Rattus norvegicus: one gene and its partner. The protein of the gene in region 2 purifies or fractionates together with the protein of the main gene of each other region. This does not show direct contact. Links are inferred from orthologs where the notes say so. Each region holds a gene or a part of one and is shown on either strand. Other genes may lie near its edges.

Evidence for each region. The genes of interacting proteins can lie anywhere in the genome.
Region 1: the proteins of Bcap31 (region 2) and Cyb5a purify together in Homo sapiens (co-immunoprecipitation; 4 studies listed by BioGRID and IntAct, with this or other methods). This does not show direct contact. The link is inferred for Rattus norvegicus from reciprocal best matches to the Homo sapiens genes BCAP31 and CYB5A.

Annotation. Positions count from the first base shown.
Region 1 is NC_086036.1:80,486,636-80,490,885, reverse strand, and holds the start of Cyb5a (cytochrome b5), read right to left. Parts: upstream 2,878-4,250; 5' UTR 2,807-2,877; coding exon 2,678-2,806; intron 1-2,677.
Region 2 is NC_086039.1:156,548,371-156,551,987, forward strand, and holds the end of Bcap31 (B-cell receptor-associated protein 31), read right to left. Parts: intron 3,287-3,617; coding exon 3,166-3,286; intron 2,437-3,165; coding exon 2,336-2,436; coding exon of another isoform or gene 2,126-2,335; exon of another isoform or gene 959-2,125; coding exon 920-958; 3' UTR 541-919; downstream 1-540. UniProt on the Homo sapiens protein: Functions as a chaperone protein. Is one of the most abundant endoplasmic reticulum (ER) proteins.

The DNA of each region.
Region 1 (4,250 bases), on a different chromosome or scaffold from region 2:
TTTAATTCTATGTCAGCTGCAACCAGGCGCTGCAAGTCTCCCATTTCTGTGAGGAATCTAAGGCACAGAGAAGGCAGGCGGCAGAGAGGGGCCAACCAACCACAAACCACAGCATACGTTTCCTCAGCAGAAATGAAGGATTCTTGATGGAGGGCAGAGCAGCCTCAGGAAAGCATGGCCACCTAGATGGATGAACCCAGAGCCTGTGGAGACACAGCTCTGTGGTGACAGAAAGTTCCAGAAAAGTAAGAAGGATGCACCTCCCACCCTTTTCATTTGTAAATTAACAAGGATTGACATATTCTTTGGCTCATGTACCTCCTGAAATTTCTGGGACCTTGAGACGTAGAAAGTGGGGCACAGGGCCAGACACTCTGAGCCTTGTAAAATATTTGTTTTAAGACAAAGCATGAGATAAACGACCTAGACCTTTGAAGCTGAAGGAATCTAGAAAGAAGAACTGTGGCAACATGTTGAGGTGTGTGTGGAAGTGGTAACCCACACTGCAGGAAGCAGTCAGGCACAGGGAAGCATACAGTGCCTGCTGGTGCACTGAGGTCCTAAAGGCAATCCATGCTAGAGGAGGAAAGCCAATGACCAAGAAAGATGCTGTGTGAAACAAGCAGTGTTAAGGAGTGTAGCAAGCTACGAAATGTCAAATGGCAAGAAAAGAAATACATCAGCACCAGGCAGACCTGGATATACCGAGAGGCCTGACGGTCTCAGAAAATGCTCCATTTCAACATAGAAGAACAGTCGCACACCGTGGGAGCAGGGTAAGAAAAGCAGGTTGGTAGGTCCTCTGTCCCTCCAACCCTTAAAGCAACAGGACCCAACCATTCTCTGTGCTTCTTGAAAACCCTGACCTCTCCATCACCGTCCTAGATGACTGGTTCCCAGGGAGCTTCTCTATTTCGCTCAAGAAGTATTCTTCCCAAGCCATTCTCAGAGAGAAGGTACCAAACACGTAGGCAGAACAAAGGAATTTGTTTTCCAGCTTGTTTCCCAACTAAGTAGCTTCTTGTTAGCCCTGCAGCTGAGCTCAGTAAGTCTGTGGGGTCCTCTCACGCCGTCCCTGACTCATGAGAATAAAACAAGAGAACTTTTGAGTATAAGTTAATAATCTCATCCCTGTTACCTACTTCAAAGATTGATTTTGAAAAGTCATACACAATTATTTGGGGGGCAGCAATTCCCTAACAGGAGCTACTGTATGTCCTTTTCTTTTTACAAGTGCTGCACTTTATTATAAACACAAAGTCAAGGGATGCATTTTGTTATAAAATTCCAGAATTACATATGTAATGTAGGAGGGCGGGCAGACAGAGGGACGGTTTCACATGAAGAGGCAATCACCTGGCCCTCAGCTTCACAATACAGGACTGTTAGTTTAGAAGCTGCTCTGGCCTCAGCAGAAGGGTGGCAGATCTGAGTCCCCACTTCAAACCACTCCTTATTAAATTGGAGCCCTATTTTTACCATTAACAGTCAAGTATTTTACCATGAAACTTCAACTCCAAACTTTCAAGTTTTTTCTGTGTTTAACATTCTCTGCAAAACAAACGTCTCTTGAGGTAAATTACAATTTAACACTGACCCTCTACTTTTGCCCAGCCCACCAATAAATAACAAAGGTGCAAATCACCTCCATCAATAAGCACTCTTATTTACTGGGAGGAAGCGGAGTGTAGAGGTCTTGTGACTATGAGTAACAGTGCATCTGGAAGGAATAAAGAGAAGGACTACAAGCCCATGGGCTCAGCAGCAAAAACTGCAATCTTGAGACCAGCATTGCCAGAGGCAATGTTTTCCTCTAACTTGAGCCATTTTACAACTTCCAAAGTAGCTTAAAGATGAAGTTCCATTTTTCTGACTGTACCCTGCTGCCTACTTCTTTTCCCTAGTAAATGCCCAAGACACATACTAGGGAGTCTTTGGGCCACTCACCTGGTGCTGGGGCTCTTACACAAGTCACTACTCCATTAAGGTCGACATTTCTTCAGGCTCTCAATGACATTTCTTCACCTTCCCTCTCACCATTGAGAGGACACTAGTGAACTTGAGGCTCTGGACATCAGAGTAGCCCTGGAAGTACCCCCCAACTTCGCGTACTTCTAACCCTAGGGAACCCTCTGGGGGAATTAGCTTTTAAGACCAGAGGTCCTCCAACTGGCTAATATTAGAAGTCCATTCGAAAATGGAGGAGTTTTTTATTCCACATGGAAAGAACCTCATATGAGAACAAAAGAAAGAACAAAAGAAAAAAGAATCTTTCAAAATCCTTACGCGGTTGTGCACTCTCCCAGCAAGTGGGTAGCATTTATTCAGGACACTCCTGAGCACCTTTTCAGGATTCAGCTTTGGCTCCCAAATACTCCGCCCATCGGAGCCTACAAAAACAGCTCACACGGCAACGGTGCTTCCCGACCTCCCAGAGGCATGCCCAGATGTGCGAACCTAAGACACGCAGGAGCACAGACACAGGTGTGCACAAGCAGGTGAGCATGCTCAGAGGCGAACACAAGTGTGCAGACGCGGAAGGCCCTCCTAAATGTTCGCAAATACTTGAGCACTCAGATGACGCATTTTCGGACCTCGGTCCCAGGTCATGCCTGGGGTACTCACAGCGGGGGCCACCCTTCCCCGCGCCCCACTGGAGCGTTCGTGCCCAGCTCACCTCTTCGAGAAACTTGGTCAGATCGTACACCTTATGATGTAGGATCACCCAGGTGCTCTTGCTGTCTTTGTGCTTCTGAATCTCCTCCAGAGTGTAGTACTTCACATCCTTGTCTGACTGCTCGGCCATTTCGGAACAGTGAGCCTTCCGGGCCCTGCAACACAGCCTTGCAGGGTAGTGCAATGATCAGGTCTGAGCTGCCTCCGCCCGGGACATTCCCAGCCCCACCGGGACGCGCGCCCAAGGACCGGGCTGGGGTGGTGCCTCAAACTGGGCATGGACCTGATGGCCTCCGGGGATTGGCCAGTATTGTGCTCCCGCCTTCAGCCGACGCCCTCCATTAATCCAATCATTTTCCCTCCAGTTCAGAGAGCGGTGTTGATTGGCTAAAGGAGGAGCCCTTCACTTTTACCCTGCGCGTTGGGTGGAGAGGCGCTTTTCTGAGTCTGCGCAGGAGTCAGCGGGTGGGGTCACTGGTAGCTGGGGAGGTGCGATCAGCGATCTGAGCACCCAATTAAAGAGGAAGCTTTAGGGCCAGGGCAAACTCCATCCTAACCTTAGGTTCTTCCTTTAGACCCGACTTCACATTAACTCGCGTATTTCCTAAACAAAGCGGCCCTACATCCTGATAATAACTTGGAACGAAAATTGCAGTGGTCCAAAGTAACCTTCTGAGTAGTTTTCCTTAACCACAGATGAGTGGAAAGAGCCTCTTACACAAATGTCACAGATTAAGGTCTGGGAATAAATGTGTGGCCCCAAATAATGAGCCCCATGCATTTCGCTTCACTGGCATCTGCAGGGGGATGGGGGTGGTTCATCTAACAGGCAAAGGAAATTGCTACATTAAAATTAGAAGCATCAAATGATTTCTTTAACCTGAAATAACTTCGGTGTCACAAGACCCTGACATGGCAAAGACTTTCTCTTATCCTTCACCATACTGTAAATTTAAGTCCTAAATAAGGAACAGCACTAGACACAGCGCTGGAGTCCCTCCCCCAGCTGGCACTCCCCTACCCTTTTGACAGGAAGTCAATACCATATATAAATTACACATGTCTAAAACAGGAGTGGGGGGAACTTATTTACTTATTTTAAAAAACAGAAAACTAAACTTATTTACTTATTTTAAAAGCCCTTCTAGGTCTTTTCAACAATGGTAATTAACTCCAAAACCATTACATTAGTGATAGCCACATCAGTGATCCTCCCAGAAAATCAGGAAGGTCCTGAACTCAGTAGGACTTGGACAGAAATAAGTTCCCTTTCCCTTAGTCTCTCCAGGAGGACCTGCTTTTGGGGAAATAAACATTGCTCAAGGCATTCCAAACTATTTTCATTGTTTCTTTCTTTTTAACCACAAGGAAACATTTTCCGATTGTAATTGTTACTCAGAAATATTTCTAAGGTAAATTCTTTGTATTAGGATACTAATCAGCTTAGTTCACATGCAACATATGAATATTTTATTTTACACCAACCAACTAAAATATAATGTAGGACCATTTCCAAGAAGTTCAATGGAGGATTTCAGGGGGTGGATGGAAACAGTTTCTCTGTGTAGCCCTGG
Region 2 (3,617 bases):
TTCAGGGTTGGTGGGTAGTAAAGACCCAAGCACTCTGCAGTCCTTTCTCTACTGCCTTGAAGCCCCTCTCCACTGCCTTGTTCTGCAGTAGCAAGCTCTAGGTCACTGCCAAGGACAGTCTCCTTTCCCCAGTCAGCATTAGTCAGAGGTCATGCTGTAAACCTTCAGGAGGGGGTTGGGCAGGGAGTGACTGGTGGCACTCTGCCACATTCTATCTGTCCTGAATGTGATGAATAAGAAGTAAGAGAAGGCACCAGGAAGTCCTGCTGGTTTACCAGGCTTCCCAGATAGTTGCCAACTCCCAGGGAGACTGACAAGACAGACACTCCCTAAGAGTCATAAAGCAGAGTTTTCCTGACTGAAAGGAAGAGGTAGGGCAGAGGCAGAGAGCAGGAGCTTTGAGGGCAAATGTGAGTTTGGTCTTCAGGGACTAAGACAAGCTCAAGAAAAGTAAAGACTGAGCCTCTGCAGTCTTTCTGGACACTAACTTTGAGAGAGGAACAGCAGAATCATCCTCAAAGCCTCAGTTAGACACAAACACCTTGTAACATAACAACATTTATTCCCCTCAGGATAAAACAGTTGACCTGCTTAACAGCAGCCTCTTTTAGGATACATGGCAAAATAAAATGGAGTACAAGTGCAGCCCAGGTCACCAGTGCTTTTCTACACTTCTAGGAGTGGAAAGTGCCCTGGCCAGGCAGAACAGTGGCAAAATTACTGTGAATGAACAACAATCAGGTCCTTTTTGGTATAAGAGTAGTATGTGTAATGGGGCCAAAATGATCTATAAGCCATGGAAGAAAATTGGGGAAATGGAAGGGAATAAACCAAGTACCAGAGGGACAGGCTGGGCTCCAAGGAAGCAGTAAGCATGGGTCAAGTATAAGCCAGCTACAGGCAGGGAAAAACCAAGTCTTTACTCCTCCTTCTTGTCTGAGGGACCACGTACTGAGGCCTGGAAAAGGAAAGAAACCCCAAAGAACGAAGTTAGCAGGACCTGGGCCCACCCCTTTGGCCTCTAGTACTATGTCCCCAAGCACTTGGTTCCCCACTCCTGTTAATAACAAGTACCTAGGCAAGCAAGGTGCCCTAGCCCCAATAGCACCCTAAAGCTTGCCAGCCTATCCCACCCACTAGGGAAGACCCTGGGCCTAATGCCAGGGGAGGACTGGCAGTTGGAGGAGTCTACTACAATGGGATCAGAACTAAGACCTCCTCCAGAGCACACTTGGGCTAGTCTTTAAGTCCCAATGTAGGGCCTTTTCACAACTGTATACCTTCCATTAAAACCCAAATCCTTGGGGGTTAGGAGATAGCATCTGCCATAAAAGCATGAGGATCTGGGTTCAATCCTAAGATACATAGGAGGCCAGACTCTACAAGTAGTAAGGCATACTTGTAATCTCAGAGCTGGAGAGGCATGTTAGAGTCCTATAGCTAGGTAGCAAGTCTGCTTGGTAAGCTCTAGGCAAATGAGATATTCGGTCTCATAAATAAAATGGATAGCTCTTGAAGAGTGATATCCAAGGTTATCCTCTAGTGTCCACTATACAAATACAAACATGTGAATAGATACAGAGACCCAACCCCCAAGTCCTGCCCAGATAGCTTAGTATATTCTGAGGGCTCACGCACTCCCTGTGGGGATGGGCCCTTCCTATTACCTGATGTAAACCAAACAAATCTTCCTGACCATCTGAACTTCCAGCCTTATCTGGAGTTGTGAGCCTAGCCTGAAAACTCAGATCAACAAATAGTACTTACCAGGTAAGGTGACCTTTGAGGCTTTCTCTTCACTTACTTCAGACTTCGCTAAATATTACCCTTCCCCCTGCCCCATTCCACAGGAGAGGTGGACAAAAGTAGGTCTCTACAATGTTGAGGGTTTTTTTTTTGAAGCAGTGTCTTAGTATGTAGCCTAGGCTGACCTGGAGTTTTCTCAACTCTCCAGCCTCAGCTTCCTAAAGTACTAGCACTTCAGGTATGGCTACCATACCCAGCTTCCCCATGTACGTTCCTAATGAAACAGCACACCACAGCTGGGATGTCCTAGAATGTTAACCCCTCTTTAGGGGCTTGAGACTAGATTTATGGTAGGAAAGACTCGGAGCAGAGAGTAGATCTACTGACAAGGGCTGCCCTTGAACCTTGCAGGTTCTAGCCCATCATCTAGTAAGTACCATGCCACATCTCCTACAAGAAGGGTTCTGACAGCTGGGTCTGCTCTAAGCCTACACTCAGCAACAAAGGAGGCAATAGGCTCCTTAGTACCTCTAGGAACTGTGTAGGGCCCTAACCCTAACCTGCCACCTACAGATAGGGAAACACTGACCTGCAGCTTGGCGTGCTCTTCTAGCAGACGGTCATATTCTTTGGTAAGGCCCTCAGACTGCTTCTGCATAGCCAGAGCCTCGTTTTCAGCTTTCTCAAGTTCTAACAATACAAATGAATACAGGAAGAAATCAAAGGATTACCTAAGGGGGGGGGGGGCTACCTGCTTAAAACATGGGAACCTGCTTTAAACCTGTCGCAAAAATGGTTATACAGATAAGGTTCCAAAGTTTGTCAATGTTTCTGTCTTTATAAACCTCTAGAGGAAAGTTGTAAGGAAGGGATAACCCAACAGCTAGATGGAATAAAAAAATCAGAGCACCAGCCCCCTTAGTCCTTTAAATGGAGGGACACTAACCGTTCCCAGAAGGGGTTACCTTTTAACTGGTGGGCAGTGAGAGGCAATAAGCAAAATCCCAGCATCAAGACCCCTAGTGACACTGGCCAACACCTACAGTGCTGAATAAATCTGGAATTAATCTAGGAGTGAGGAGGAAAAAATAAGGGAGAAAGGGAGAATGATCACACAAATTCTTCTCCACACTTTTTTGTTCTTGGTTCCAAGGCATCTTGGGCATCCCCCATGCCTGCCTGTCTTAATGGGAAACCCCTAGTGAGCACTACTAAAGCATGCCCAGTAGCTGTTAGGGTTTCTCCAAGGCCTACTCGAATCACTGAGATGCTCTAGCCATGAACTTGTTTGATTCCATTTGGGTTGAAGGTGTGGAGTGCTATTTGTGTGCTTTCACATGAAGTGTACTAATAATACTTGATCCATGGGGCATAAATGGATAGTGGAGCTTCTGGGTGTATCAGGACAGCCATCCTCACTTTTCTTGGTGCTGGCCAGCTCATCTTTTAGCTTCTTCAGATCAGTCTTCAGGATCTTGTTCTCCTCTAACTTCATTTCAGGACTCCCAACATCCAACTTGCCTCCATCCTCAGCAGTTCCCTAGGGAAAATGTCAAGCACTTGGGTTATTCAGAAGGAAGTGAAGGTGAAGTTCCAGGCCAGTGTACTCCATAGAACTTTGATTTCTCAAGCTACTTTGAGCAATTACTGACCATTTTGGAAATATCAATACAAAACTGGGCCACTATGGAGCTCCCAGGCACAGACCAGGATATAGTTAGCTACTAAGGAAAGGAGCATCAGCTGCAAGCTCATTCATGGGCTATGCACTCTGCCTACCCTGGCCTCTAGGCCTATCTTCCCACCAGTAAAGTTCAATGGCTCTGTGTTTACCCATCAAACCAGTAACCCAACTTGCTGTCACCAGGAGC